Linked DNA regions of Macaca fascicularis. The protein of the gene in region 1 purifies or fractionates together with the protein of each later gene. This does not show direct contact. Links are inferred from orthologs where the notes say so. Each region holds a gene or a part of one and is shown in the gene's direction. Other genes may lie near its edges. The genes, in order: TNFRSF10A, CASP8 and CFLAR.

What was found.
Region 2: the proteins of TNFRSF10A (region 1) and CASP8 purify together in Homo sapiens (affinity purification with western blotting; 13 studies listed by BioGRID and IntAct, counting the BioPlex papers as one, with this or other methods). This does not show direct contact. The link is inferred for Macaca fascicularis from reciprocal best matches to the Homo sapiens genes TNFRSF10A and CASP8.
Region 3: the proteins of TNFRSF10A (region 1) and CFLAR purify together in Homo sapiens (affinity purification with western blotting; 5 studies listed by BioGRID and IntAct, with this or other methods). This does not show direct contact. The link is inferred for Macaca fascicularis from reciprocal best matches to the Homo sapiens genes TNFRSF10A and CFLAR.

What each region holds. Positions count from the first base shown.
Region 1 is NC_088382.1:26,374,376-26,385,047, reverse strand, and holds the end of TNFRSF10A (tumor necrosis factor receptor superfamily member 10A), read left to right. Parts: intron 1-1,638; coding exon 1,639-1,711; intron 1,712-5,724; coding exon 5,725-6,044; 3' UTR 6,045-6,737; downstream 6,738-10,672. UniProt on the Homo sapiens protein: Receptor for the cytotoxic ligand TNFSF10/TRAIL. The adapter molecule FADD recruits caspase-8 to the activated receptor.
Region 2 is NC_088386.1:97,058,843-97,069,649, forward strand, and holds the end of CASP8 (caspase-8), read left to right. Parts: intron 1-3,604; coding exon 3,605-4,106; intron 4,107-5,249; coding exon 5,250-5,385; 3' UTR 5,386-5,792; intron 5,793-5,895; 3' UTR 5,896-6,454; downstream 6,455-10,807. Other genes in the region: FLACC1 (flagellum-associated coiled-coil domain-containing protein 1), read right to left, coding at 7,414-7,540, 8,214-8,323, 8,452-8,541. UniProt on the Homo sapiens protein: Thiol protease that plays a key role in programmed cell death by acting as a molecular switch for apoptosis, necroptosis and pyroptosis, and is required to prevent tissue damage during embryonic development and adulthood.
Region 3 is NC_088386.1:96,878,943-96,889,749, forward strand, and holds the start of CFLAR (CASP8 and FADD-like apoptosis regulator), read left to right. Parts: upstream 1-4,713; 5' UTR 4,714-5,041; intron 5,042-5,307; exon of another isoform or gene 5,308-6,248; intron 6,249-7,304; exon of another isoform or gene 7,305-7,527; intron 7,528-10,807. UniProt on the Homo sapiens protein: Apoptosis regulator protein which may function as a crucial link between cell survival and cell death pathways in mammalian cells. Acts as an inhibitor of TNFRSF6 mediated apoptosis.

The sequences.
Region 1 (10,672 bases):
TATGGTTGTATGGAGGCTTCCAAGAAGAAGCACAATTTCCAAGTCAGCGTGTGACAGTACTGCTTACTGTGCATACGCACATACATGCACATGCACACACACATGCATGTACACATGCATGTACACACACACACATGCACACAGCCCCCAAGCGTTGGTTTGTACCAGTTTATATATTTTGATTCAACATTGAAGGGCTTTTTCTTTTTTTTTGCTATTTAGGAAAACATTGTTTTAAATGAACATTTCTTTGTTTTGACTGTTTTTGCATAAGATCAGTGTCTTGTCTCTCAGAGTCTTTATGAGAAAGGTCTGCTCTCCTACTCATGCTTTTTCTCACATTCAGACAATAGATTCTTAATTTCTTCTTGCCCCTTTTTGTTCTAATATTTTCAGGTGTAGAAGCTTTAATTTTTAACCAGTGAAATCTGTAGATACATTTACCTTTTCATTGCTCATTACTGTAGACAGACCTTTCCCCAACACAAGATGAACTCCTCTAACTTCTTATGGAGATATTTTTTTCAAAGATGTGATTTTTTCATATAACTATAGAATCTAAATGGAACTTATTTTGTGTTTCAGTGCAAAGCGAGGCACTCCCTGAATTGTTCTAGTCGCTGTCTGGTTTTTCCAACCCCTTTGAGCCACTGATTCTCCTGTTTCCCTCTGCTTTGGTTAAATGCTTAATCACAGGTTAAATGCTCATGTAGACAATGATCTCCTTCCACCTAGACTGTTCCATTTGGTTGCTTTCTTGCATTAGTACCCATTTATTCTAACCAAAAATGTAAAAAATAAAAATAAAAAAAGTAAAAAGAAAGCAAACATTAAAAAGGTCAATAATCTCTAATCTCTCCAGCTTGATAAGGTGCTTTGACGTGAAGAAATGGTTTATACATTTAAAGTGAGAAAATTTAAACTGTCAAAAGGTATTCAGTGAGGAAAGAGAGCATCTTCCACTCTGCAGTGCCCTGGGTTTTCCTCAAGTAACTATGAGATACCATTTCTTGTGATTCTTTGTCCAAATCGATGCATCAGTATATGTGCATACAAAAGACATCATATTATTAACCAATGGTCCCCAACATTTTGGCACCAGGGACCAGTTGTGTGGAAGACAGTTTTTCTATGGACTGGGAGGTGAAGATGGTTTTGGGATGATTCAAGCACATTACATTTATTGTGTACTTTATTTCTATTCTTATCGCATTATAATATATAATGAAATAATTATACAACTTACCATAATAGTGTCAGTGGGAGCCCTGAGCTTGTTTTCCTTCAACTAGGTGGATCTATCTGAGGGTGATGGGAGATAGTGACAGATCATCGGGCATAAGACCCTCATAAGGAGCGTGCATCCTAGATCCCTCACATGCACAGCTCACAACAGGGTTCGCTCTCCTATAAGAATCTAATGTTGCCGCTGATCTGATGGAGTGGAGCTGAGGTGGTAATGCCAGCAGTGGGGAGTGACTGTGAGCTCTGTGGGACTAGAGGTTTTTCGGCATCTCCATGATGACCCAAGAGGGAAAGTGATGTGCTGCAGGTCTCAGGGCTGGCTGGTGGTCAGGGTCAGTACTAGACTGCAGGACCCCTGACTCAGACCAAGGCGTTCTCCACTGTGTGTTACAGGGACCGGCAGAACCTGAAGGGTCTCAGAGGAGGAGGCTGCTGGTTCCAGCAAATGGCGCTGACCCCACTGAGAGTAAGTGTTTTGCTCCTGGAGGTGCAGCAGGAATGGAGGGAATAGGGACAGTGTCCTAAGTGGTGTCCCCATTGCTGAGAATGCTCTTCCAGAGCATTCCATGCCAGAAACGGGGTCCTGTGCTATAAGACCATCAAGGCCCTAAACTGTCTTCTTCCGTCTCTTCTTCCCACTCATTCTTTCTGCATGCTATTAATGACACTAACCATTCTGTCTATCCCCTTCTCCACTTCCTCTCTCCTCCTTTGTTGTTCAGGACCTCCTGAGGAGCTGCGCTGTCCTGCATGGCACAACTGACTTCAGTGGGCTAATAGCTCTTTATCTGTGCCTAAGCCCAATTTGCAGAGCTGTTGTATAAACTACATACTGATTCCAAAGACTTAATGAAAGAAAGAATGGAAAATATTTCACTCATTTGAAATATTTCACTCATTATTTGAGACCAGGGATTGGGTCTAGGTCTTGGTGCTCACTGCACAGAAAGCCAATCACTGAGACAACTATTGACAAGGAAGAAGGCTTTAATTGGGTGCTGCAGCCAAGGAGATGGGAGCTCAGTCTCAAGTTCATGTCCCCAACTGACTAGAACTAGGGGTTTATATAGTAGGGATAAAATGTAACAATGTGTAAGAAAATAGGAACTAGGGAGGAGTAAAGAAGCAATCAAGATGAATGAGGGGTCCCGCATTCCATTGGATGTAGTGATCTGGTAAGTTTCAGTTCTTTGATACTTTGAGAAGCCTGAAGATCATTTCCTGAAAAAGGAACTCAGATAAAACAAATGTAAGATTTGAGCTTTAAGAACAGAAGGGTCAATTTCTATGTTTACCAAAACAACAACAACAAAAAACTTTTGATGGAACTATTGGGTTGATTTCAGGTCTGCCTTTCTATCTGTCAATCCCACAGTCACAGGGAGTCTGGTCCTGGATCTTTCTGGCTGCTTCATGGTTGAGGAGGGGCATTGTGGGAAGCTTCATATCATGGGTGACCTTGAGGCCACCCAGGAATCAAAAGTTAATTTAATACTAGAAGATTGTGTTTCTTCTGAAACACAATCTCTCTCTCTGTCTTGGCCCCACTTCCACCAAAGACAAATTATAGCAGGACCAGTGTACCTGCAAAATAAGTTTAGTTTCATATATGTGGCCTGATTACCCACACAAAGTGCAACAAAAATCACTGTCCACATAGGCTCTCCTAAGTTGGCTTTGCTGGAACCTCTCACAAGGCCACTGCAATCAAAGCCCTGAGAAAATAACCATTTTCTCCAACTGCGTTCCATTGTAAAAGAAAACGTTATTAACCATATGCAAGCAAACACATTGCCATGAATTAATAGTCACAAATAATTTACACATTCTGGAGAAATTAGGCAGAGGGAGAAATATGCTTCAAATTCTGTTTACAAAAGTATACTCAATATACAAAAAGTTCTCCAGACTCTGGAAAACAAAACCAAAAGAATCAGCAATATTTCAAACCAAGAAAAGCCGTAAAAATTATTTCAGTCCTCCATTAGTTTACCCCACACAATCAACTCCTGCCCAGCTTCATGTTTGGTTAACAATCACAGTCTTTATGAACACATCAGTGTGTCTTTTATTTACTTACTTATTTCTGAGAGAGTCTCGCTCTGTCACCCATGCTGGAGTGATGAGGTGCAATCTCACCTCACTGCAACCTCCATCACCTGGATTCTAGGAATTCTCATGCCTCAGCTTCCTGAGTAGCTGGGACCACAGGTGTGCACCATCACACCTGGGTACTTTTTGTATTTCCAGTAGAGACAGGGTGTTGTCATGTTGACCAGGCTGGTCTCAAACTCCTGGCCTCAAGTGATGGACATTCGCCCGCCTTGGCCTCCCAAAGTGCTGGGATTACAGACATGAGCCAATGTGCCTGGCCACACATTGGTCTTTCAGTTACTGCCCTGAAAGTTTTCTCTGTAATCCAATGACAACAATTTTTAATTACATGAAAAATTTACTTAAAACATCCCATTTATATTTACCGAATTCTTTCATTTTTCAGTTTATCCAGATTGCTTCTGAAAATTGAAATATTAGACACCATCATTTAAAGTTAGTTATTTCTTTGTCAACCATTTTTTTAATAGCCAGTGAACATCAGGTGCTCACCTAAGAGCTTCAAAGTTAAATATATAGGCATTTTCACCAATAACTCAGAAGACTCAGCTGTTTTCATTAAACCAACAACATTAAATTAATCTTACTTACAGTTTCCCGTGACTCTAGCAAACACATACAAATAATTATCAAAACATAATCCAACTGCTGCAGCAACACACAAGCCCCAAAACTACCCAGACTGAAACAGGGTGCTTCCTCTCTCCATTGGTTAGGTTTGATCAACCTGCCAACAAAAATTCTTTCAAATTTCTCAAATTGAGAGGAGCCAGTCGTGCTGCCTGGTACCCACAAAAGACACTCACTTGCCCCAACATGACACACAATTACCAACAAGCCCCCAAGAGTGTCCAGACTGAGAGGCAGAGTGCATCCCTTTCAGTTCCAAAGTCTGAACTTGGGCCTGTTCAACCTGCAAATGGAAATTCCTTTACAAATTTCTCAAACTGAGAAGAGCAGATCCTGCTGTCTGAGCCTATAAAGGACAATCACCTATCTGGATGCAAATGCCAAATTTCAAAGGCAATTCTTCTGAGGTAATCAGGAATGTGGTTGGGGACGGCTGCAGTGGGACCAGAGAGAGACTGAAACTCACTTCCAGCCAAAATTAGTGGGGCAACTGCTTGGGAGGGCTTCTGAGACGCCTGGCCCATGGCAGCAGAACCATGAGCAACACTTTCCCAGCCAGGGAACCAGAATCTGTTACCAAAACCTCAGGGGTTTGGTCTAGGTCCCGCTGCTCACTGCATAGAAAGCCAGTCACTGAGATGATGAGTATTGCCAAGAAAAAGGCTTTAATCAGGTGCTGCAGTGGAGGAGATGGGAGCTCAGTCTCAAATCCATCTCCCTGACTCACTAAAACTAAGGGTTTATATAGCAGGCAAGAAATGTAACAGTGTAAGAAAGTAGGAACTAGAATGGGGCAAGGAAACAAGAGGAATGAGGGGTCCCACATCCCATCATTGTCTGGATGTAGTGATCTGGTGAGTTTCAGTTCTTTGATACATTTTTGAGATGCCTGAATGTCTTTCCTGAGGAAATACTTCAGATAAAACAAATGTAAGTTTCAAGTGGTTAAGGACCAGAAGGGTCAATTTCTATGTTTATCAAAAAAACCTTTCTATGGGACAATTGAGTGAGTTTCAGTTTTTGTATATTGGTTGCATATTAAATTATATTTTACACATATTCAGTACCACACATCAAAATGAATGTCACTTTTTTCTTTTTTATGTTCTTTAAATGAGGCTGTTAGAAAACATAGCTTGGTATTCCTGGCCCTTTCTATCCCTGTGGATGGTGGTGTGCAGTGCTTTGCACACACATCTCATTTCATTTAATCCCTGGTAGTCCTGAGATCTGGGCAGGATTGCTCTGTCTTCAGGTTTGCTTCTTGGTCAGGGCCTGGTTGCCCCCACCTAGCTCTGCCCCAGACCCTGCACTTCCCACAGATGCAGAAGTGGCCGCCCTGGGACCTGCTCCCATGGCAAGCGCAGCCCAGGCAGCCTCCCTCCTCTGAGCTCCCGCTGCAGCCACTCTCTCTCCCTTCCTCGGGCTCTCACCCACTTTGCTTTCTGCCTCCTTAGGGTCCATCCATTCTCCCCAGGTGGGTTCTCAGCCCTCTCTGAGGGCAGATTCTCTGGTGACCTTGGTGTCCGTCAGTGCCTTGGGGGCCACGGAGACCGGGCAGTGTGGGCGGGCTGTCTGTGAATGGGAGGTGGGTGGGCAATGGAGCAACAAGTTTGCCCATGCAAGGGGCTCTCCAGGTTCTCCTCTTGGGTTCTGGGCCTGATGTGGGAACCTCTGCCCCTTCTGAACTGAGTCCCAACTCACCAAGCTGTCTCTGTGGCTTTCTCCACCCAGCTATGATGCTGTTCTTTGACAACTTTGCAGACATCGTGCCCTTTAACTCCTGGGACCAGCTCATGAGGCAGCTGGGCCTCACAAACAATGAGATCCACATGGTAAGAGCTGATACAGCAGGCCCAGGGGATGCCTTGTATGCAATGCTGATGAAATGGGTCAACAAAACTGGACAGGATGCCTCGATCCACACCCTGCTGGATGCCTTGGAGAGGATAGGAGAGAGACATGCAAAGGAGAGGATTCAGGACCTCCTGGTGGACTCTGGAAAATTCATCTACGTGGAAGATGGCACAGGCTCTGCCGTGTCCTTGGAGTGAAAGACTCTTTTTACCAGAAAGAGTGTTAATAGTTTTTTTGTTTGTTTGTTTTGTTTTGTTTTGTTTACATGTATATAAAATAAATACTTAGCTGGGTGTGGTGGTATGCCTGTAATCCCAGCACTTTGGGACGGTGAGGCGGGTGGATCACTTGAGCTCAGGAGTTCAAGACCAGCCTGACCAACATGGTGAAACGCCGTCTCTACAAAAAAATACAAAAATTAGCTGGGTGTGATGGTGCGTGCCAATATTCTCAGCTACTCAGGAGGCTGAGGCAGGAGAATCGCTTGAACCCACGAGGCAGTGAGCCAAGATTGCACCACTACACTCCAGCCTGAGGGACAGAGCAAGACTCCATCTCAAGATAAAATAAACTTGAAAGAATTATTGCCCGACTGAGGCTCATATGCCAAAGAAAAATCTGGTTCTCTCCTGAGCTGGCCGGTCTGCTTGGGTCTCCATGTGTTTCCTTATCATGGTGGTTAATTGTAGGTGCTAATGTGAATGGATTAAAGAACACCTAGAGCACTGGTAAGGCATTATTTCTGGGACATTATTTCTGGGCATGTCTTCGAGGGTGTTTCCAGAGGGGACTGGCGTGCAGTCGGGTGGACTGAGTGGAAAAGACCCACCCCTAATGTTGGGGGACACCATCCAATAGACTGGGGAGCCAGATAGAACAAAAAAAGAAAAGCAAATCCATCTGATCTCCTGGAGCTGGGACACTCTTATTCTGCCTGTGGACATCAGACTCTAGGATTTCCAGCCCTTGGACTCCAGGGCTTATATGAGTGGCCCCCCGAGGATGTAAGGACTTTGGTCTTGAACTAAGAATTACACCATCGGCTTCCCTGGGTCTTAGGTTTTTGGACTGGATTAAGCCCTGCTTCCAGCATTCCAGGGTCTCTGCTGTGAAGATGGCCTGTTGTGGAACTTCTCAGTCTCCATTATGAGATGCATTAATTCCTCCAATAAGTCCCATTTCATATAGAGTCATTTGCTCCACAACAACATTTCAGTCAAGGGAACAGCATATAAGATGGTGACTATCCAGTAAGCTAAGGTTAATTTATTAATTATTTAATTTATTTACCGTGAGTTCAAGTCACAATTGAAGTACATGTACCTTTGGAGATTTGGACTTTTGTATATAAAAATACTATTTTTTTGGCAGGGGTAGGGGGGAGCTCTCATCTTAAACAAATGTGTTATTTGGTGCCTATGCAAAGATTTGGCTAAAAGGAAGAAAAGAATTGCTTCCGTAAATCAAGCATTTTCTTAGAAAAATGGGAGCCCACCTAAATGTTTTTCAAGCTCACGTGATCCGAGGTAATCTTTAGTATATGAAAAGCTAGTTTAAGTTTCTTGGTTTAATTAAAACAGACAATTCTTCAGAGTTGTCAACATTATATACAGTTCACACATACAACTTCTACCTGGATTTACTAATCAAAACACTTATGTGTCTTTAAGATCATAAAACTGTAAATTCAACTGGAGAACAAAATGTACAAGGAAAGTATAAATTTCTTGATGTATATGAAACACAAGAATGAAAAAAAGGATTGAAAAGAGTCATATATTTTCAATGTATGGTTCTTTGTATTTTGTTTGTGTGTTTTTTATATGTTATGTGTTTGTTTGTTTTGTGTTTTTTATGTGTTATGTGATGTTTGTATCTTTTTTTTGTTTCTTTTTTTTTTTTTTTGAGAGTCTTGCTCTGTCGCCCAGGCTGGAGTGCAGTGGTGTGATCTCAGCTCACTGCAAGCTCCGCCTCCCAGGTTCATGCCATTCTCCTGCTTCAATCTCCCAAGTAGCTGGGTCTATAGGCACCCACCACCACGCCCGCCTAATTTTTTGTATTTTTAGTAGAGACGGGGGTTCACAGTGTTAACCAGGATAGTCTCAATCTCCTGACCTCGTGATCTGCCTGTCTCGGCCTCCCAAAGTGTTGGGATTACAGGTGTGAGCCACCGCGCAAGGCCATTTCTTGTGTCTTTTTTGGTATGGTTTTTATAAGGTGTCTACTTTTAAGTATTTTTATATTTAATTTTGGTAACTTAAAAATCTTAGTTATATTAACCTAAGTTAAATGAAGGTTATTTGTATTAGTCTGTTTTCTGTTGCTATCACTGAATACCTCAGAGTAGGGAGTGGGTAATTTATAAAGAAAATCAATTTATGTATTATGGTTCTTGGGGCTAGGAAGTCCAAGGGCAAAGGGCCAAACCTAGGGAGGGCCTTCTTGCTGACGGACTCTGATATGGTTTAGATCTGTGGCCCCACCAAAGTCTCATGTTGAATTGTAGTCCCCAGCGTTGGAGGTGGGGCCTGGTGGAGGTGATTGGATCATGAGGGCAGATTTCTCATAAACGTTTTAACACCATTCCTCTTGGTACTGTCCTCCTGACAGTGAGTGAGTTCTCATGAGATCTGATTGTCAAAAAATCTGTGGCACGTCCCCATTCTCTCTTCTCCTGCTCTGGCCATGTGAAGTGCTGTCTCTCCCTTTGCCTTCTGCCATGATTGTAACTTGCCTGAGGCTTCCCTATTTGCCAAGCAGATGCCAGCATCGTGCTTCCTGTACAGCTTGTGGACCTGTGAGCCAAATAAACCTCTTCCTCTTTATAAATCACCCAGTGTCTGGTATTAATTTATAGCAATGCAAGAACAAACTAATACAAAGTCTCTGCAGAGTCCCAAGTTGGTGCAGGACATTATAGGGCGAGGGGACACACTGAGAGGCAAACAGGCTTTTATAACAGAGTCACTGTATTAGTTTGTTTTGCATTGCTATAAAGAAATACCTGAGCCTGAGTAATTTATAAAGAAAATAAGTTAATTAGCTCACACTTCTGCAAGCTGTACAGGAAGCATGGCGGCTTCTGCTTCTAGGAGGCCTCAGGAAGCCTCCAATCATGGCAGAAGGCAAAGGGGGAGTGAGCTGTCTCACATGACCAGAGCAGGAGGTAGAGAGAGAGGGGAAGGTGTCACACACTTATAAACAACCATATACTGGCCAGGCATGGTGGCTCACGCCTATAATCCCAGCACTTTGGGAAGCTGAGGCAGTGGATCACCTGAGCTCAGGAGTTCAAGACCAGCTTGGCCAACATGGTGAAACCCCGTCTCTACTAAAAATACAAAATTAGCCGGGCATGGTGGCATGGTGGCGGGTGCCTGTAACTCCAGCTACTCCGGAGGCTGAGGTGGGAGAATCGCTTGAACCCAGGAGTGGAGGTTGCAGTGAGCCAAGATCGCACTGCTGCACTCCAGCCTGGGCAACAACGCAAGACTCTTTCTAAAAACACAAAAATGAATAAACAAAAAAACTATGAGACAGAAAAGATGGGTTTTTGCTAAAATAAAAAATAATATTGTTTTAGTTTGGAAGTTATTCAAAGGTTGTTTCAAAATGAATCACTAAATAACAGATCAAACTGAATGGATATTGTCTCAGTCTGATTTGTGCTACTATGACAGAACACCTGAGACTGGGTGATTTAGTTAAATATGGAGATTTGTTTTTTACTGCTCTGGAGGCTTGGAAGTACAAGGTCAAGGGGCCCCTATTTGGCAAGGGCCTTCTTGTGGCCTCATCACCTGGTGAAAGGTGGAAGGACAAGAGGGCATGCATGAGAGGAAGGGAAAACATGCAAGAGGGGGCCAAACTCACTTTTATAACAAATCTACTCCTGCAATAACGAACCCACTTCCACAATAATGTATTAATCCATTCATGTGGGAAGTACCCTCATAATCCAATCATCCCTTAAAGGTCTCACCTCCCCCCACTGTTGCATTCAGAATTAAGTTTCCAACACATGAACTTTGGGGGGCACATGCAAATCACAGCAGAAATAAAAAGCTGAAAGAGAGAAAACGAGAGAATCCTATGTGCTCAAGTTGATTAAACTGAATGAATTTATTATATTACTTTTAAAAATGAGCCTAAATACTGAGAGTGAACTGACACAGAACTAGAATTTGAATTTCTCTGTTAAAAGGACAAAACAGGCTGGGCGCAGTGGCTCACGTCTATTATCCCAGCACTTTGGGAGGCCGAGGTGGGTAGATCAACTGAGGTCATGGGTTTGAGACCAGCCTGGTCAACATGGTGAAACCCCATCTCTACTAAAAATACAAAATTAGCTGGGCGTGATGGCAGGTGCATGTAATCCCAGCTACTTGGGAGGCTGAGGCAGGAGAATCACTTGAACCCAGAAGGTAGAGGTTGCAGTGACCTGAGATCGGGCCATTGCTCTCCAGCCTGGGTGACAGGTTGAGACCCTGTCTCAAAAAAAAAAGCACTACAGAAGGTTAAGTGAATGTAAAAAACCTTTTAGATCTCAGTTTTTCTAAGCAATTAAAAACCTAATAAAGGCAACAAATGAGTTATTATTATTACTATTACTATTATTTTGAGACAGGGTCTTGCTCTGTAGCCCAGGCTGGAGTGCAATGGTGTGATCATGGCTCACTGTAGCCTCCACCTCCCCGGGATCAGGTGATTCTCCCACATTAGCCTCCTGAGTAGCTGGGACTACAAGCATGTGCCACCATGCCCAGCTAATTTTTTTAAAATTTTTATTTATTTATTTATTTATTTATTTATTTATTTATTTATT
Region 2 (10,807 bases), on another chromosome or scaffold:
ACTGATGGCTTATGTTTAGCTCTGATGTGCTGACAGGGACAAAATGCTGGAGAAGGAATAAAAAAGGAATAATCCAATAAGGATCAAGAGAACGGGAATGGAGACGATAGCTAATGAAAGGTTTCCAACAATTTGGGGGAGTTGAAACAAAAGAGTAGAGGTAATCGACTTAACAGAGAAAGCTACAACCTAACTGATTACAGAGGGGAACACAGAAAAGAGGCAAGCCTATTTACCCCACAGAATCCTGGAAAAATTCAGCAATTGGAGGTACAAAGTGTAGGTGAGGCAATGAGCAGAAAACAGGAAGATTCTTTAAAGCCTATACAATCCTCAGATTCATACCTCCCTCTCATAGAGGCAGCAACTATTCTTATTCTACCATCATAAGGAACAGGAAGTTTGTTTTCTCATAAAATTGAACCAGAGAAACTCTACACTTGGGTGTACCAGGCCCAGCAAAGGAAGCAATGAAGCATTTTACTGAACACAGAGAGACTGAAGAAAACCTACTGGTGGCGTGGAGTCAGATCTCTAAACCAACTTGGTTCCAAGAACACTGGCAGCAGATACAGATTGACCTCTGGAGCAGCTGAAAGCTCTAGCTAAAATGCATAGAGATAATGACATCTGGAGGTTTCCTAATGCAATGATCAGGTCTGCAACCATCATCTTGCTATGAAGTCCATCAGTGAACAAACCACATCCACAAACACAGAGCTTTCAGTTGACTTTTTAATGGACTAATTAGTCAATTTATGAATGGACAACCAAAGGTCAGCAGGCGTTTGAAGAAAGCCTCTAATACAAAAGAGAGGCAGCTGGGTACGGTGGCTCACGCCTGTAATCCCAGCACTTTGGGAGGCCGAGGCAGGCGAATCGCCTGAGGTCAGGAGTTCAAGACCAGCCTGACCAACATGGTGAAACCCCATCTCTAATAAAAATACAAAAATTAGCCGGGTGTGATGGCAGGTGCCTGTAATCCCAGCTACTACAGAGGCTGAGGCAAAAGAATTGCTTGAACCTGGGAGGCGGAGGTTGCAGTGAGCCGAGATTGCACCACTGCACTCCAGCCTGGGTGATAGAGCAAGACTCTGTCTCAAATAAATAAATAAATAAATAAATAAATAAGAGGCAATGAGAACAACAAGAAAAACATGAAACAATATGAATGAAACAAAGACAATGTTGAGAAAAAAGCAAGCTTTTTTTATTGCTTAATATTGGTATTTAATGTTCTTAGAGAGTTAAAGTTCCATAAAAGAACAAGATGTTATGAAACAGGGACAGAACAAGAAAGACTCCTTGAAAATTAAAAATATGAGCACCAAAATGAAAAATTCAATAAAGTAGAAGACAAAGTCTCAGAAAGTAGTATAAAAAGACAAAAATAGAAAATAGGAGCAAAAGATAAGAAAATTTGAAGCTGAATCAAGGATGTCCAATTTTTGACAATAAGAGTTCCAGAAAGAAAGGACAGAGAAAAAAGAAATGGAACTTTCCAAGAACGAAATGACACAATCTCCAGATTGAAAGGGTATAATGGATTAAGAATCACTTCCAAACATATCATACCCTAGAAGCTTCTGGAAAGAGAAAAAAGTAAGCCAAATATGTGAAGTATCAGGAATGAAAAGGTCTTCTCTCTAGCAACACTGAAAGCTAAGATTGTGAAGAAAAGCGTTCGGAATTCTGAGGAAAAATGCTTTTGGAAATAGAACTCTATGAAGTAAAGACTCATACAAGGGGTCAAAAAATGTACTCCTCGTGGTTATGCTCCAGCAAAGGAAACTAATAAGAAAGAGGAAGTCATCGATGGAGGAAACAGATAATCTACTATGGAAGAGACAGAGAGATGTCCCAGGAGAAGATAAATTCATCTGGCCTACAGAACAGCCAGTTGGTATTACAGCAGAAGGATGCAGTGCTCTGGATGGAAAGTTTTCCAGGAAGAAATAAAAATGAGTCAGACAAGTAGCCTGAAAATGTTGAAAGATTTTGGCCAGATCCATTAGAGCACTTGGAGAAAAAATAGTGTTAAGCATATAGGAAACAAAGCAGATGAAAAAAATAATACAATTACTAATTCCAGGAAAGGCAAAAAGGTTAATAAGGAAACATAATGAAAGAACATTATGTTTACATAGTCTTAATAATAGAAATATTAGTATGGGCCGGAGGTGGTGGCTCATGCCTACAATCCCAGCACTTTGGGAGGCCATGGTGGGTGGGTCACTTGAGGCTAGGAGTTCGTGACCAGCCTGGCCAACACAGTGAAACCCTGTCTCCACTAAAAATACAAAAATCAGCTGGGTATGGTGGTGCGTGCCTGTAGTCCCACCTACTCGGGAGGCTGAGGCAGGAGAATTGCTTGAACCTGGGAGGCAGAAGTTGCAGTGAGCTGAGATTGTGCCACTGCACTCTAGCCTGGGTGACAGAGTGAGATCTTTTCTAAAAAAAAAAAAAATTAAAAAAAATATTACTATGGATTCAACCAAAATTCTAAATAATTGTGTAAGAGCACCAAATGCTTATTCTCCATAATAAGAACTCAATGCGAAAATCTAAAATTTATAAATGAGTAATTAGCAGTGTACCCAAATTCATTACAAAATGGAGGTTAATGTGAAAAAAGAGTGGTTAAAAATTGGAAGTGGTTGCCTTCATGGAATGTGACTAGGTAATAGTGAGGGATAGAGAGGGGATAACCTATTGTAAAAGGTCTTTTAGTTCTATTTTATTAATTCATGTATTTTATTTTGCTAAACATAAATAATTTTGAGAAGGTTTAGGATAAAATAAGTTGGATCTTCTATTCAAAAATTGTTTTGTTTTTCCTGATTATGTAAATAATATAGTCATTTTAAAAATTGGTTCAGTAGTAAGCCTAAATGATAACTTACTCATCTTGTAAACTAGTTGAGTAGAGAAAACAGACCAACAGTAACTCTCTGCTTTCTCATTTGCCCCAGGGTTTGAGAATGTTTTTAGCTGGTGGCAATAAATATTCGAAGCCTGCAGAATCCAGCTACAAACATAGAGGGTTTTGCTCTTGAATTTCTGGTTCAAATCCTTTATTTATTTATTTATTTATTTATTTATTTATTTATTTATTATTTTACTTTAAGTTCTAGGGTACATGTGCACAACGTGCAGGTTTGTTACATATGTATACATGTGCCATGTTGGTGTGCTGCACCCATTAACTCGTCATTTACATTAGGTATATCTCCTAATGCTATCCCTTCCCCCTCCCCAACCCCACAACAGGCCCCGGTGTGCGATGTTCCCCTTCCTGTGTCCAAGTGTTCTCATTGTTCAATTCCCACCTATGAGTGAGAACATGCAGTGTTTGGTTTTCTGTCCTTGTGATAGTTTGCTGAGAATGATGGTTTCCAGCTTCATCCATGTCCCTACAAAGGACATGAACTCATCCTTTTTTATGGCTGCATAGTATTCCATGGTGTATATGTGCCACATTTTCTTAATCCAATCTATCATCGATGGACATTTCTTATCTATCAATGTTATGCCCACTGTGCTCTCCAGCTCTGGTCTGTGAATTACTGTGGTATAACGTGACTGTTCAAATTTCACTTTTCAGAGGCTTTGACCGCGACCTTTGAAGAGCTTCATTTTGAGATCCAGCACCACAATGACTGCACAGTAGAGAAAATCTATAAGATTTTGAAAACCTACCAACTCATGGACCACAGTAACAAGGATTGCTTCATCTGCTGTATCCTCTCCCATGGAGACAAGGGCATCATCTATGGCACTGATGGACAGGAGGCCCCCATCTATGAGCTGACATCTCAGTTCACTGGTTTGAAGTGCCCTTCCCTTGCTGGAAAACCCAAAGTGTTTTTTATTCAGGCTTGTCAGGGGGATAACTACCAGAAAGGTATACCTGTTGAGACTGATTCAGAGGAGCAACCCTATTTGGAAATGGATTTATCATCACCTCAAACGAGATATATCCCGGATGAGGCTGACTTTCTGCTGGGGATGGCCACTGTGAATAACTGTGTTTCCTACCGAAACCCTGCAGAGGGAACCTGGTACATCCAGTCACTTTGCCAGAGCCTGAGAGAACGATGTCCTCGGTAAGTTTTGCCTACTCAGCCCACCTCACTGTTACACTACCTTCCCCTCCTACTCCATCACCACTACTATCTACTCACATTCAGAGACTATTAGAAAGTGATATGTGGTTTAGATGACATCAACAGGTCAGAGAACTGTGCAAGGGGAATGGTTTCCATTCATCTCTAGATGTCTAGCTGTGGATCACATAGCTGCACTTCCCAGGTCAGTTACAAAGTGGGAGAGTGGCAAGTGTTGACATCCTTAGTTTATAGATGGAAAAGCTGAGATGTTTTATTCCTTTATTCAGCACCTCAAAGGACAATCAGGGTGTCACAGAGCAGGAAAGACTGGTAAAGTCATATAGTCCAGCTCTCTGTCTTTAGGCCAAAACATGAGTGAGCCAATTCAACTAGTTTTGGAAATCTTCCAAAGAAGGCAGTAACCCAATTCAATGTTTAACATCCTCCAACTCTGTCAAAAGTTCTATAAGAGCAAACCATCCTTAAAACCTCTTGGTGCATTATGGGAAATAAACAGCAGGTTCCTTTTAGCCCTGTATTTCATGTTTTGAGTATATGAAGAGTGAGAATTTCCCACAACTTAGATCATGAATCTAACTTAGATTTTGTAACTTAGATCATGAATCCTGCAAGGTTTCCAGGGCTAGCTCCGAGGTAGAAGAAGAGGTTGCCTAACAAAAACGCTAAGAGATCCTGGTGAGAAGAAGGTGGGAGTAGCTGCAGGAGACATTGTACTTTCACTTGCCTTAAGTTTAATTGCATCAAAGATGAATCCACAGATGCAATGTCAACTTGAGGCAGAGAGTATTGGGGGGCATTGAAGCAACTGTGGGAGCCAAGTAACATGGAGAAGAGTGAGATACGCACAGGTCAGGAGAGAAAGAAATCAACTCTAATACTGACACTGAGGTTTCTGACGGTCAAAAGAGTTCCTGAATAAACCAAAAGTAAGTTATTAAGCTCTGAGACAACGCATTTACCACGAAAGCTGGGGTAGGTCTTGGTTTAGCAACTTATTGTTTCAAATGACTGATATTTTGAGAGAAAGAACTACAGAACTATCTCTGAGCACAGCAGAGGAGACAGTTCATCAGTTGCTTTCCCCCACAGATAGTCACAATGTTATGTGATGTCTTTCAGAGGCGATGATATTCTCACCATCCTGACTGAAGTGAACTATGAAGTAAGCAACAAGGATGACAAGAAAAACATGGGGAAACAGATGCCGCAGCCAACTTTCACACTAAGAAAAAAACTTGTCTTCCCTTCTGATTGATAGTGCTATTTAGATATACAACACTATGTTTATTTACTAATTTTCTAAGTAGTTAATTTATTAGTTTTGCACTTTTTTGTAAGAGCTAAAGTTAATAGGATATTAACAACAATAACACTGGCTCCTTTCGTTCATGCCTAGGGCTTTGGGAATGTTTTTACCTGGTGGCAATAAATACCAGATGCCTGCAAAATCCAGCTACGAATATAGCTGGATTTTGATTCAAATTATTATCAACATTAAGCCCACTGTTAATATTCTATTAACTTTAATTCTTTCTTGAAGTCAAATTCCACACTACCACATCAAAAAATATTAGACAATAGCCACCTATGGTGGCTCATGTCTATAATCCCAGCACTTTGGGAGGTTGAGGTGGGGGGATTACTTGAACCCAAGAGGTCAAGGCTGCAGTGAGCCATATTCACACCACTGCACTCCAGCCTGGGCGACAGAGTGAGACCCTGTCTCGAAAAAAAATTTGAGACGGGGTCTCACTCTGTCGCCCAGGCTGGAGTGCAGTGGTGCAATTTCAGCTCACTGCAACCTCTGCCTCCTGGGTTCACGCCATTCTCCTGCCTCAGCCTCCCAAGTAGCTGGGACTACAAGTGCCCACCACCACGCCTGGCTAATTTTTTGTATTTTTCAGTAGAGATGGGGTTTCACCATGTTAGCCAGGATGTTCTCGATCTCCTGACCTCATGATCTGCCCGCCTTGGCCTCCCAAAGTGCTGGGATTACAGATGTGAGCCTCCATACCCAGCCAAAAATTTTTTTTAATAAAACAAAATTTTGTTGAAATCTTTTAAAAATTCAAATTATTTTACAATTTTTACATAATTTATCCCCAAACTTGCTTTTTGCCTTCTTTTGCTTTCATGATGCATATAGGCTTGGCTAACTATATTTGCTTTTTGCTAACAATGCTGTGGGTCTTTTTATGCATTTGCATTTGCTCTTTCATCTCTGCTTGGATTATTTTAAATCATTAGGAATTAAGTTATCTTTAAAATTTAAGTATCTTTTTTCAAAAATATTTTTTAATAGAATAAAGTATGATTTGATCTTACTGCTCCTTGGAGATTTTTTTGTGTTTGATTTTGGTTTCTGCCAATGACATCTCACAGGTGGAAAACATCTGGACCACAGGCATGTTCTACTTGAGTCTCCCATGATTGGTACACACAGTTGTATTTTTAGAATTTGTTGTCAACGTTTAAAAATTAGGAGATATCACATAAAAACCAGGATACCTTCTTTGAAAAAATAATAATATCTGACAATATTGACCTCATGCTTTTGCATGGCAAAGGTCTGAGAAGCACCTTCTTCAGATGAGACAGTGCTCTGCAGGTCATTCTTCTCCACCCGTTGTGCCCCAGCCCTGCCCAAGCCCCTCTACTGAGGCTGCTGTCAGTTGTCACTTATGCTTATGCAATTGTTTTCCTTGTGTCTAGCCCACTTCACTTATTTATGTTGCCTGCCCTGTGGGTGTCTGAATTCTGGTGATGGTCCAGAGAAGGTGGTAAGAATCATCAGAAACCCTTCCTAAGTCATAGGTCAGGGAACATGATTGAGAGGTAGGGAAGTAGGGGGCATGGGTATGAGAGAAAAAGGTTTTAGAATAAAATCAACACATCATCTTTTTTTGCTACCTAAATGCCCCAGGGGACAAAGGTACACCCCCCCCCCCAAATATAGTAAAAGTTCAATAGGAAGAAGGCTTTCAAATCTATTTCTTTCCTATGAAATACATAAAGGTGGAAGAAAAATAGTACAAAACTCAGAGAAAGCTCAGCTCCCAGTACGGAGAGCATCATTTTTCAATGAAGCGTCCGTGATAAGCTGTGAAATTCAGATGAGAATTCAAACATTTTCAGCCACTCAGAAGAGAGCAAAAATAGAGTCAGAGCAACCCAAGAACTAAACTCATTATACACATGTTCTGAAGAAAACCCTGCCGGGAGTTTCCGGGGCCTACAGAAATGGTGTGCCGACCATCTTCAACAATGGAGAGCGACTTTATGTTTATGATTCTTGTCTTTTCTTGCTACCATCTTCCACAGTGTCAGAATCATCCTTAGAAACAGTGATAGAGGCCAATCTCCCAGAATATTCTTCATACATTTCTTCATTCTTAGAAATTACCTTTTGCCTGTAAAAAGAAAGGAAAGATGTATCAATGTCAACTCAAAAGCTAGAAAGGGTATAGGATATTTGGGGTGCGGGGAGAGCAATGTGCCTTCATTCCTTCACCACAGCAGTCTCTCACTCATTCCAGTGGTTTTGAATTTAGTAAGGTATGGTGTTCAGGTGACTGAAGTCCTGTATGAGGAATTTTCTACTAAATCAATGCAATAAAAATAACTTTCCTCTATTAAAGTATTGACCAAAATTTATTTTAATGATTTAAGATGCAGCTTCAGGTAACAGTACACCTTCTGATCCAAAGCTGATTTCCATAGGAACCAGAAGCAGCTGCACGTAATGGTAAGACCATCAGACTCCCAGGGGAGATGGATTTAAAAACCATCCTCAGTCATAGAACTGAGCAAACTCAGAAACTGGGAGATAAATTTCCTGTGTTGGTTTGCACAGCAACAAGGACACAGGTGAATGGGAGAAGTGTAGACACATCTCTACTCCACCTCAAGTGAACTATCTGGCTTTGTGTCGCTGGCCTGCAGTGACACACCTCCCTCCTGAAAATGCCTGTGCCTTGACATAACTAGGGAGCACTTGGTCTATCTTCCTAACCCATTCCTCACTCAAACTCCTTCCCACTCCTAAAGAGAACTCAGCCATGTCTTTTTCAGCAGCAGCCGCACTTCAGATGAATGTTCTCTTCCATCAGGATCTGTATGGTGTACTTATACTTTTCTTCAGTTTCAGCACACTTGGTTTGAAGCATTTTCTCCAGATTTCCCACTATAGCTTTCTGAAAGACAAATATTTTAAAGCCATCTTCCCCAACCCAGAGCCATCCAGGGCAGAGCTATACGGCAGAGCTGGACAGAGACCTAGGTTCTTCCCCCAACCCCCATCCCCACTCTAGCAGGGACTCACCTCTTTTTGGAGTTCCACCTGGGTATAGTAGAGGTTTGCGTTAAGTGACTCTAGGATGAGGGCTTGTGCATGCAATTCTTCCTCCATGACCTGCATAAGAAGAATTTGTTGCAGGACATCATGCCGATGTCTATTTATTTAGTTTCTTCTCCAGGGCACCTGGACTGTAATGCAAGGGAGCAACTTGAGCTACTTTTGCATCACTCATGGCCACTCACACCCTGTCAGTCCTACCTCCTCCTTGTCTCACTCATGTATATCCTTCTCTTCAGCCTCACCAGAGCTCACATGAATGGTTACAATGGCAATCAGTTATTCATTCACTAAGCAAGTTTTTATTAAATACCTACTACTAATTGCAACTATACGACACTCTGGAAAAGGCAAAACTATAGAGACAGAAAAAAGATTAGTGGTTTCTAGGGATTTGGAGGGCAAGGGAGGGATGAATAGGTGGGGGAGAGGGCACTTTTAGAGCAGTGAAACTATTCTGTATGACACTGTAATGGTGGCTACATGACATGATATATTAGGCAAAACCCACAGAATGTACAACACAAAGAGCCCTAATGTAAACTACGGACTTTAGTTAATAAGAATGCATCCACAGTGCTCATCAACTGCAACTAATGTGGCACCCCAATGTAAGATACTACTAATAAAGGAAACTAGTGGTGGGGTGGGGTGGGGTAGTATATGGGAACTCTGTGTACTTTCTGCTCAATTTTTCTGTAAACCTAAAACTGCTCTAAAAAGCAGCTTCTTGAAACAAACACACAAACAAACTTCCACTAAAGAATGAATAGAAGCCTGTGGAAAGGTCCTTAGAATGCAAAATGCTCATTGTGTTTGAGGACCCAAAGGAATACCAATATGGGTGGAATAGAGACAGTAAGGATAGAGGGCCATGGTGAAGAAATACAGGGGAGCCTGGTGGCACCTGAGAGGACAAGGTAACCTAAGAACAATGGGGACCCATTGAAGGGTGTTAAGCAGAGAAGTGAATGCATGTATCTCACTTGCTTATATTATGCTCCAGGGGATGGACTGGAAGGGCAAGAGGGAAAGCAACGGAACTAAGGAGGAGAATACTACGGTCATGTAGCTGAGAAATAACGGACTAGGGTAAGGTGACAACAGAGTTGGAGGGACGTGGATGAATGTGGAATATGTTATAGAGGATTGGCTGAGGCTGCTGGGTTGAATTTGGGAGAGTGAAAGGAAAGAAGAAATCAAGGATGACTTCAGGTCTAGGCTTAGAACAGCTGAGGGAGTTGACAATTTTGGGGCTAAATCTCTGGTGGATAATTGAGAGTGTGGAGCTGGGCATGTTAATTTTGAGGTGCCTGTATGTCACCTATGCTGAAATGTCAAATGGGCAGTTGGATGTACAAGCCTGGAGCTCAGGAGAGAGGCAAAGCTGGAGGTATCAACCCAAATTATCAGCACAGAGATGGCTTTTACATCTGTGTGAACAGATGAGCTCTCCAAAGGAAAAACGGGAGATAAAGAAGAGAAGGGGGCCTGGGAACCAGCCTCAAAATACTCCAGGACTTAGAAATTAGGTGGGAGAACAATGGGGTGACATTGAAGGGTTTTAAGCAGAGTTCTAGTTCTAGTAAAGAAGATTGAGAAGGTGTGACCAATGAGGTGAAGGAAACGCCAGAAGCCCATGAAAGTTAAGAGAGGTGAATGTTCCAAGGAGAGAGTGATCAATTGAACCTGATACTGCTCATGTCAAGTGAGGTGAAGCATTCTTTGGATTTGGAAACTCAGAAGTTACTTGTGATTTTAACAAGAGCAGTTTCCATGGCTGGGATGGGAGCAGAAGTCAGGTTGAGGTGTAAATGGGAGATGATCCTTCTAACAGGTTCTGCCTCCTGTCATTTTGATTCTTCAGATTCTCCTTCACATTGCTGCCACAGTTGTTTCCCCAAATAATACTCTCCTCCTCAAAAATCTCCAGTGGCATCCCATTTAGAGAAAAGCAAGTGTTGGGGCAGGGAGTGGAGCCCTTAAATAGGGTGGCATCTGAGATGGTGGCATTTGAATAAAGACCAGGAGGAGGAAAGGAAGGAAGTCATGTGGATATCTGGGAAAGAGCTTTTCAGGAAGAGAGAATATCAAAGCCCCCAAGGTAGGAGCATCCTGGCCTGTTAAGGAAACAGCAAGGAGGCAAGTGCCTCTGGGGTGGAGTGATGGAGGGAAGAAATAGAAAGAGACATGGTTAGAGGAAGGAACCACCAGCAAGGAACAGGTAGAACAATCCCCAGAGCCAACACAGGGCTGGGAATAGTTCATGGTCCCACCAGGCAGAGTAGAAAATCCTTCTCATACAGAGGGTGTGGTGTCGAGT
Region 3 (10,807 bases), on another chromosome or scaffold:
TCTTGAACACCTGGGTTCAAGTGTTCCTTCTGCCTTGGCTTCCCAAAGTGCTGGGATTATAGGCATGAGCCACCATGCCCAGCCAAGAATATATTCTCATAGAATGTCAGAGGAGTTGAGGCGGGATGTGTGACTAAGAGAGTAGATATAAAGTCATTGCTGTGGCTATTAATTCTCTACTTCCCAAGTCACCCACTGTGATATAAGGAAAAGCATTAGATAAATTCTTGGCATCCTGTCCTAGTTCTGTCACTAGCTAGTTGTGAGATTTCTCAATTTATTAACTCACTTTAAGCCTCAGATTCTTCATCTGAAAATTGGGTCGTGGTTGAGGGAGTGAGATAATGTTTGGATTAGATCAGTTGTTCTGAACTGAACTGTATGTTGAAATCATACAGGGAGCTTTAAAAACTACTAATCCCTGAGTCTCACTCTCAGAGATTTTGATATAATTAGTCTGGAATGGTACCTGGCCACTGAGGTTTTTGAAGCTCCTTGGGGACAGTCTAACGTGCAGCCAAGGTTTACCACCAGTGAATTTGACGAAAACGTGAACATTTGTTGCTACTTTGTGAAGTGTGGAAAGAGAAAGTCAGAGAAGCTTAAGCAATACTGCCCTTGGACCCAGGCACTCAGGGTCCTGTTGTGGGCCCTGATTTAGAAGGGCCTTGCTCCAGCTCTTCTTGGGCTGTGCCCTTCCCTCAGGTGGGGAGAATGATCAGAGGTGGGAGGAGTCTGCAAGGTCAAGAGGACATGCCCACACTGAGACCCTCTGTTTAAAACCTTCTTTGGGGCTGGGTGTGGTGACTCTCATCTGTAATTCCAGCACTTTGGGAGGCCAAGGCAGGCAGATCACTTGAGGCCAGGAGTTCAAGACCAGCCTGGTCTTGACCTCGTCCTGACCTTGTCTCTACTAAAAATACAAAAATCAGCCGGATATGGTGGTGCGCGCCTGTAATCCCAGCTACTTGGGAGGCTGAGGCAGGAGAATCACTTGGGCCTGAGAGGCAGATGTTGCAGTGAGCCAGGATTGCACCACTACACTCCAGCCTGGGCGACACAGCGAGACTACGTCTCAAAAAAACAAAAACAAAAAACCCTCTTTGGGTACCCAAGACCTGATGTTCTCTACTCAAAGAGCCCTGAGCCTCCCACCAGGGCCTACATTGGCCTCTTCCCCAAGTCTATACCCCAGGGACAAACTGTGCTGCAAGTATGCACATCCCTAAGCCCAAGGGGTGGCTGATTGTAAGAGGATGTAAATGGAAAGTGGACTGCAGGTGGGAGTGTCAACATAGGTGTATAGTCATTCTTTGAGGGCTGCTGAAGTCAAAGGATGAGGATGGCACAGGGGTAGGGGGTTAAATGCCTGCTCCTACTGGTTTGCCAAATGGGATGACAATATGGGCTTCCAATGTGAGCCAGAAAAAGCCCTCAGGGAATGACATATGGATATGCTGGGTTAGAAGTCATACTGGTGTGTGTTGAAGTGGTGAGAATCAGTGGGCATGCAAGGTGGGCCTGGGGTAAATCCACTGTGATGGTTCTACTGACAACCAGAAATGGCTTTCACTTGGGATAGGGTGCGTTGGAGGTGGTGATGGAGGTGCTAAGCTAGGTGTTCTTGAATAGTAGTTTCCAAATTAAGGACAGGTGCTGATCTGTAATAAAATTTTCTTGGTGTACTGAAAAGATAAGAAAGGCCAAGAGCAGCGGCGGTCATGCCTGTAATCCCAGTGCTTTGAAAGACCTAGGCAGGAGGATCGCTTGAGGCAAGTTCAAAACCAGCCTGGGGCCAGGTGCGGTGGCTGAAGCCTGTAATCCCAGCACTTTGGGAGGCTGAGGCAGGCGGATCACGAGGTCAGGAGATCGAGACCATCCTGGCTAACACGGTGAAACCCCGTCTCTACTAAAAAATACAAAAAACTAGCCGGGCGAGGTGGCGGGCGCCTGTAGTCCCAGCTACTCTGGAGGCTGAGGCAGGAGAATGGCGTAAACCCGGGAGGCGGAGCTTGCAGTGAGCTGAGATCTGGCCACTGCACTCCAGCCTGGGCAACAGAGCAGACTGTCTCAAAAAAAAAAACAAAAAACAAAAAACAAAACCAGCCTGGGCAGCATAGCAAGACTTCCCCCAACCCACGACCTCCACTTCTACTATATATAGTGTATATATATGAACACGATACATATACTATATAGTATATACATATATACATATATATACACACACACATGTGTGTGTGTGTGTATATATATGTATTTTTTTGAGATGGAGTCTCGCTCTGTCTCCCAGGCTGGAGTGTAGTGGCATAATCTAGGCTCGCTGCAACCTCTGCCTCCTGGGTTCAAGCAATTGTCTGCCTTAGCCTCCTGAGTAGCTGGGATTACAGGCGCCCACCATCACACCCAGTTAATTTTTTGTATTTTTAGTAGAAATGGGGTTTCACTATCTTGGCCAGGCTGGTCTTGAACTCCTGACCTCGTGATCCACCCGCCTCGGCCTCCCAAAGTGCTGAGATTACAGGCGTGAGCCATTGCGCCCGGCCACAAATTTTTTTTTTTTTTTTGAGACGGAGTCTCGCTCTGTCCCCCAGGCTGGAGTGCAGTGGCCGGATCTCAGCTCACTGCAAGCTCCGCCTCCTGGGTTCACGCCATTCTCCTGCCTCAGCCTCCCGAGTAGCTGGGACTACAGGCGCCCGCCACCTCGCCCGGCTAGTTTTTTGTATTTTTTAGTAGAGACGGGTTTCACCGTGTTAGCCAGGATGGTTTTTTGTATTTTTTTAGTAGAGACGGGGTTTCACCGTGTTAGCCAGGATGGTCTCGATCTCCTGACCTCGTGATCCGCCCGTCTCGGCCTCCCAAAGTGCTGGGATTACAGGCTTGAGCCACCGTGCCCGGCCTCAAAATTTTTTAAAAATTAGTTGGGCATGGTGGCACCTGTAGTGGCACACCTAGCATGGTGGCATGCTAGGACCTCTAGTCCTAGCTACTCAGGAGGCTGAGGCAGAAGGATCCCTTGAACTCAGGAGGCAGGAGGTTAAGGCTGCAGTGAGCTGTGAGCGGGTCACTGCACTCCAGCCTGGAGTGAGACCCTTTCTCAAAAACAAACAAAAAACCAAACTTGGATAACTGACAAACAGTTTAGTATTTAATTACATGGAAAAACCAACAAAACAAGACAATTATTAACTCCAGAAAAAACTAAAAGTTGTGTGGGAAAGGAAAAGTAATCATAGTTTGGTACATAACTTGGCTGTGACTACCGTTTACATGATTATAATAGCATATGTACTGAAGATTAATCAAAATCAGAATGTAACTATCTTGGGAAGATGGAGAGATTAAAAAAAAAAAAAGGTTGGGGGTGAATATGGGGTGAAAGTAATGGAGAAAAAGAGCTAAAGTCTCCTCTTGTGTCTCAGCACTCCACCCAAGGTAGAGCCTCTGAATGGAAGGACTTTGCCACCTCTCCACCACACTTCCCCAGGATTTAGCTTCAGCATCAGGTAGCTAGGGGCAAGATGAGAAATGCTGACATGCTGGTCTCTGACTGGGAGCTGTGGGAAGACAGAGGTTCTTAGTTGCAGCCGTCTGGAGTGGAGTCTGTCTTGCTGCACAAAGGCAGAGGTTTGCTTTAAATACCACAAACTCTCACATTCTGATGCAAGAATTTTTATAGATTTTTTGGAATACATGTTTCTTCATTTGCTGTTTGCCCTTAGGACCATTTCAGACGCTTAAAATAGTTAATGGTTGTTTGTTGTTTTAAATAATTTTCAGTTTCACTAGGGGTGAATCCTGAGCTCTTCATGCCGTCCTGCAGTTAGTCTCTCTTGGTATTATTCTTCACCTTTCCTGTGAGTTTAAAATTATTTCAAGAAAAGTTAAAGCTTTTTAAGAATCACAATAAAGTAGATAGATAATAGGAATAAATAAAAACTTAGCGGGGCGCGGTGACTGACGCCTGTAATCCCAGCACTTTGGGAGGCCGAGGCGGGCGAGGATCACTTGAGGCCAGGAGTTGGAGACCAGCCTAGCCAACATGGTGAAACCCTAAAATTAGTCGGGCATGATGGCCTGTGCCTGTGGTCCCAGCTACTCGGGTGGCTGAGGGGGTTGGATGGCTTGGGCGCAGGAAGTCCAGGCTGCAGTGAGCCGTGATGGCGCCACTGCCTTCTAGCCTCGGCGACAGCGCGAGACCCTGTCTCAAGAAGGAAAACAAAAAACAACATACACACAAAAAAACCACAAAGTGCGTTCACGTTTGCTATGACTCCCAGACATCAAATCATAAACACTCGCGCCTGGCTGGGTGGCTCACGCCTGTAATCCCAGCAGTTTGGGAGGCCGAGGCGAGCGGATCACAAGGTCAGGAGTTCGAGACCATCCTGGCCAACAGTGAAACCCCGTCTCTAATAAACACAAAAATTAGCCGGGAGTGGTGGTGCGCGCCTGTAGTTCCAGCTACTCGGGGGGCTGAGGCAAGAGAATAGCTTGAACTAGGGAGGCGGATGTTGCAGTGAGCTGAAATTACGCCACTGCACTCCAGCCTGGGCCGCAGAGTGAGACTCCGTCTCAAAAAAGAAGAAAGCAAGCAAGCAAGCAAAAAAAAAAAAAACCCAAAAAACCTCGCAGTGTTTACTCCTAACGCGTGGAACTTATGTCGACATCCACCCTCGGTTACTGCATACTCAGTCACACAAGCCAAAGCAGGAAACAGCGAGTTGGCAGCCTCACCGACGAGTCTCAACTAAAAAGGACTCCCGGAGCTAGGGATGGGGACTCGGCCTAACACAGTGAGTGCCGGCTATTGGACTTTTGTCCAGTGACAGCTGAGGCAAAGCCCAGGGCTATCCAAAGACCACGGGAGGGGGTGTGGGAGAGAAGCGCTGCGAACAGCCATCGCCCAGCACCGAGTCCGCTTCCGAGTCCGCTTCCAGGCTTTCGGTTTCTTTGCCTCCATCTTGCGTGCGCCTTTCGGGCGTCTAGGGGAGCTAAGGCTGAGGTGTCAGCGGCAGGAGAGTCCGGCCGCGACAGGACGGTACGTGCCCCACGCTCTACCCCCCGCCGGCGGCGCCGGAGCTGTCCCAGACCCCAAGCCCCGACGCCCAGCCCTGAGTCAGCGTTGCAGCAGGCCCTGAGCCGCCGCGCGCCCACGCGCCCACGTCCCACTCCTGCCGCTCCTCACAGCCCTGCGCTCCGGGAAACTGCAGGTGGCCGGCAGTGGCCAGGGGATGGCGGGGGCGCTTCTGGAACCTGACTCAGTTTTGTAGATTTCTTATCTCGGTTGTTTACCGCGGGCTGAGCGGAATGCCCCCGCTTCCGCTTCCGCCCCGCTCCGAAACCCCGAACCCTTTCTGCTGGCAACTCCGCCCCGGATTCCCAAAAAGGGGCGACCTGGGCCACTGCGGTCCGAGCTTCACCCCAATGGACCTGAGAGACCGGAAGTAAACCTTGGCTAACTCTAGCCGCCCCCTGCAGCCGCAACCGCAGAGGCCCACCCGCGAGCTTCAGTGGCGGGTCCTCAGCGTTGTGTAAACTTTGCTTAAAATGATCTTGAGAGTTCAATTCTTGGAGTGAACTGTTGAGAAGATCTGGCACTTTTCCTTTCGAAAGTTGTTGGGAACGTGGACTTTCCCAACAGTTGTGTGTGCGTTCGACCTCACTCAGTGGGAGCCGCCGCCCTGTAGGGAATTTAACAATAGCCTAGTCAGGGCTGTTATTTTCCAGAGCAGTTTAATATCTATTTTGCCCAAGTGCAAGGAAAGCTTGCCTTGGAAAAGCTGGGAATGCCTGACTGAAGAAACGTTTTTAGAGCCTTTTAAAATGAACCTGTTTCTGCCATTTTTCCACCGCTTCAAAAGGACTGGGAAATGTAAAATGACTTCAAGATGTTCTTACTTGAGAGTGTCCGGATTTGGACAGAAGGCCATGTTCTTTTAATATTAACAGTGGCACGCAGTAGAACAAAGGCCACTGAAATTCAGAATTAGTTTTTGGCTCCACGGAGTAGGAAGTAAATTCAAGGACGCCAGAGGTCTTACGAATGTTTTAATTGGTTGACATTTGAAATTTGTTCTTAAGCAATGAGGGGTGAAACCAGTAGGGGGTTAGCATATAGCATAAGTAAAGCGTTTTGAATATCAACAAACTGCAATAATCTAGAACTGAGAGCGGGCTCTGGAAGGTTTGACCTGCTTTAGAGAGAGATTTCAGATAAGAAGAACGGAGTTTTTGGCCCTTTTCGGGTTGGTGATTCCCCTAAATAACCTTACAAAAGTTTTGTTTAACAAAAAACCTGGCTCGAGCTCCAAGATCTTTTTTTTTTTTTTTTTTTTTTTTTTTTGAGACAGAGTTTCACTGTTGTTGCCCATGCTGGATTGCAATGGCACAGATCTCTGCTCACCGCAACCTCCGCCTCTCGGGTTCAAGCAATTCTCCTGCCTCAGCCTCTCAAGTTGCTGAGATTACAGGGATGCACCACCATGCCCTTAATTTTGTATTTTTAGTAGAGACGGGGTTTCTCCATATTGATCAGGCTGGTCTCGAACTCCCGACCTCAGGTGATCCGCCCGTCTCGGCCACCCAAAGTGCTAGGATTACAGGCGTGAGCCACCGCGCCCGGCCCAACTCCAAGATCTAAACAAAAAAGACTGGGTCGAAAGGGAGTTTTGAATGTTTACTGTTTGCTTTACATACATTTAATGTTTGTAAATGTTTGCTTTACATACATTTTCTTGTTTTGTTAATACTTGTTTTACTTACAGCTTTTGGGTCAAATGTCCTCGTTAAAATGGCTTTCTCTAGCGACTTTATGTTTTACGTTTCTGTTTGTAACTGACATTTGACCTCCTTACTTGCTTCCTTACACCGGTTACTTGCTTCCTTATACTTGCTTGCTTCCTTGTACCGGTTTCCAAGGTGAAGCCATTTGCAGGGTCGCTGGGTTTCCCCCTACCCCCGAAAGTCTTGCATGACCCGGGGTGGGCGGGATTACGTGCAGTTTTTTGAGCCTTGGGCTGGGGGCCTCCAGGAAGCTGAAACGGAAATTGCCTAGGCCCCTGGGGCATCGGAGGTCCTACCGCAGCTCCTAGTAGGTGGTGGGGGCCCACCGGCGGTCCCCACTCAGTCCTGGTGGGGCCGCACGTAACTGTCCTGAGATATGCATAAGCCCTTTGACCACGCATGGAGAATATCACCACCCAGAGACACGCGAGTGGCCCTGTGCAAGTTTCAACTGCGCGGGGGCGGGGAATTCCGCAGACAGGATTCGAGAATTTATGTCTTGTAACATTTCAGCCGGTGGGCGGCGGGGATTAGGCGTGAAGCGGTTCAGTAGGCAGAGGTTTTCGGACGCCCTCCGGCGAAGCCACCTGTTGATATATTTGACTTTCTGTCCTCGTTCCTCATCCCATCTGGAGCATTTCCAATTCTGCTTTTGCGGAGCAGCAGGTCTGAGCTTGTACGGCGAGGGTGGGAGTTGGTCCCGGCGGAGATCCAGTGGGAAGAGCCGACGGCTGCCCGGGCGTGAGTAGATGAGAATCCTGCCCGATCCCCGCCCCGGGGCTGGTGTCGCCCTGGGCTCCTGAGACGTTGGGGCACTGTCCCCCGATACTGGCAGAAAAGGATTGAGTCCTCGCTTTTGGCCCTAGGTCTCCTCCTTGAGCCTCCAGTGGACTCACAACACTCCGAGGCATATTGCTCTTTCAAATACCAGGAATGGACTCTGGGGAATGGGGCACCCTTGAAGTCTGATTATTTCTTCCCTGTAGAGCCCCAGGGGCTAATTAAACTCGTGTTTATGGACTCCAATGCCTCCTTGCCTTTAATTCAGTATAATCCTACCAGCATTTATTGAGCTTCTCTGGGCCAGGTAGAGTTCTGGGTGCCGAGGACATAGAAATGGATCTAAACTTGGTTCTTGTCCCCATAACCTCACAATATGGTTGAGGAAGACTCAACAGTTACCTAAACACAGGTAACTTCGAGTTAAGGCAGTTTAGACAAGATCCACTGACAGCCTGCCTGGAGGAAGCCTGTGGGCCATGGTGGGGCAGTTATGACACCATGGGTTCTTTTTGTTTATTTGTTTGTTTGTTTTGTATTTTCTTTTAGTATGCCCAGGTAACTTGCAGAACCCAATCGTTCTTTCTTACTATAGATCGGTGAGGTGAAAAGCACTATCATTATTGGAATGCCCTGTATCTCCCTTATACTCTCCTCCTGGCATCTCCCCTCAGAAGACTTGACACCCCACCCTGGTGCCCTTTCTCTGTACTTTCATATGCTCAGCGGCTGTCTTTGCACTTGCTTCAGGATCGTACCTAACATTCTGTACTGTAATGCATTTTCTTCAGACACTCTTCAGTCAAGTTGTATTACAATTACCTGGGTTAAAATACATGCAAAGTAAATAGAGAAAACCCCCAGGGGTTCTTTCCCTACAGATAACCAAAGGTTTCAGTGTAATGTTTTGTTTTGTTTTGTTTTGTTTTTTTACCACATTTGTGCTCTCAAATACAGTCTTTTACATATTTTTTTTAAAAAACACTCATAATATTTTTGTTTTCTAGTTTGCAAAATATTTCATTTTTTAAAATTGTGTTTATTTACAACCTGCTTTTTTCTAAAAAAGATTCAAGGTGGGGCCTTTTTTTTTTTTTTTTAGGTGAGATCTTGCTTGTTGCTCCGGCTGGAGTGCAGTGGTGATCATAGCTCACTTCAGCCTCTAACTCTGGGCTCAAGCAATCATCTCACATCAGCCTCTGGAGCAGCTGGAACTACAGGTGCGCACCACCACACCCAGCTACATTTTTTTTTTTTTTTTTTTTTGAGACAGAGTGTCACTCTGTCGCCCAGGCTGGAGTGCAGTGGTGCTATCTCTGTTCGCTGCAGCCTCTGCCTCCTGGATTCAAGTGATTCTACTTCGAAAATTGCTTGCTTTTCTACACTTGTTCTGTATTTTGGTCTCCACTTCTAGCCACTTTCTTTTTTTGGTGATTTAGGTTTTTGGCCCAAATAGATAAACATCTTCTACATTATTTTTCTCTTATTCTCGATACTGAGTTGCCATCTTTGTTGATTTAGTACTTGTTATGAAAGAGAAGCTACACACCACTTGATACTACTTTCATCTGCATACTCAAGATAATTTGTATCTTCTGCAGTGAACTCTTCAGTTGAAGAAGTGAATCATTTATATGTATATTTATATACTTTAAAAAATGTAATTGAAAAATCCTCTCATAGTTACTTACTCCAAGGTTTAAAATGTTTCCCAGGGTAATGAGTTTCTTTAGTCATGTGACTTTAGAAATGGGAACCAAAGCTACCTTACCTACTTGTGAAATTCTTGAGTTTTCTCCTTGAACTTCCTTTGTATCTTCCCTTTGGCTTATATATCTGTGTTTTTTGTTTGTTTTTACTTGCAGCTTTCAAAAGTAGTTTTCAAAGTCAATGAGATTGTTTAAAAGAGTAGGTACCTGACAGTCTCTTGCTTGAATACTATCTGGTGAGTAAACCAAATTCCCTGCAACAATAACCACAACTTTGAATCAAGAGTTAAATGAAAAAAGTAACTCCTTCACCGTTTACTGAGCACCTACTGGGGCTAAGGAATGGGAGCACGTAGATCTCTCTCTGCTATCTGGAGCTCCCTTTCTGGTTGGAAAACAGAAGCAGCGCAAAAGTTTCACTCAAAACCTTGGCCATGGTATGCTATTGAAACCCCATAGTTCAGATTTTATACTTGACTTGAGTTCTATTCTAAGCCATGGCTGGATTATTTTAATCTGGCAAATAATCATAAGGCTGGATTATTTTAATCTGGTAAGTAATTATAAGGTTGTGCTCCGTGATGGAGCTGTTAATAAAATATGTGGTAGCACAGGCAAGTTATATATAGCACAAAGCTATATCCCCAGAGGAGACACTATATCAGTTGCTGTCTGCCTAGGCTTACTGTAAATGTGCTGGCTATCATTCAGCCTAAATGTAGAATGAGTCTATCCCTTTAACCTGGGTAGTCACCAGGAATGTCAAGGAACCTAGAACAAGGAACCAGGCAAGAGATGAGAAACTAGGGGGACGGATGTGTAGGTACCAGGGATGGTGATGAGACTGAAGCAAGTGGGGAATTTTTATTTTTAATTTTATTAAATTTATTTAATTTAATTTTTAATTTTAATTTTTATTTTCTTCTCTACTTTTCTCTATTTTCCAGATTTTCTTAGAGCAAAAAGCAGGTAGTGCTTTTTATAGAAAATGAATGCTATATAAAAGTAATTTTAAGAACTTTATATCCCTAGTATCATGTACAATTTCTGACTTTGAACAGAGCTATCTCCCAAAGGGCCAAGTTTGGCCCTTTAGTTACAATGGAGAATCTGTTGTGTAAACTGAGCAAATATACCTGCCAAGTTGAAATTTAATTTAAGCCAATTGTGTCTAGATTAACTTAAGAGAATGTCTCCTAAATATTTTATTGCAGTAATGTAGCATAATTGATAGTATGCTATTCTCTTGAATAGATGGGATTGTTTCTTGAGCCACTTTTTATTCTTTTGATCAAAACCTTGAGGAGAAGGAATGCCTGTTTTCCTGACTGCTGTTGCATGAAGTTAGACATCCAGTTCCTCTAAAGGTGACGTCAGATGGTTTAGATACCTAAAAAGAAGTGAGGCTAAGCCATAGGTCTTCTTCATACTACCTGAAGTTGAAACCTGGTCTCTGAACTCAGTCTTTGCCAAAGCATTAAAATCTGACATCTTGCTTAAACTCAGGCAGCTTGACCTGTTATTCATTTTTC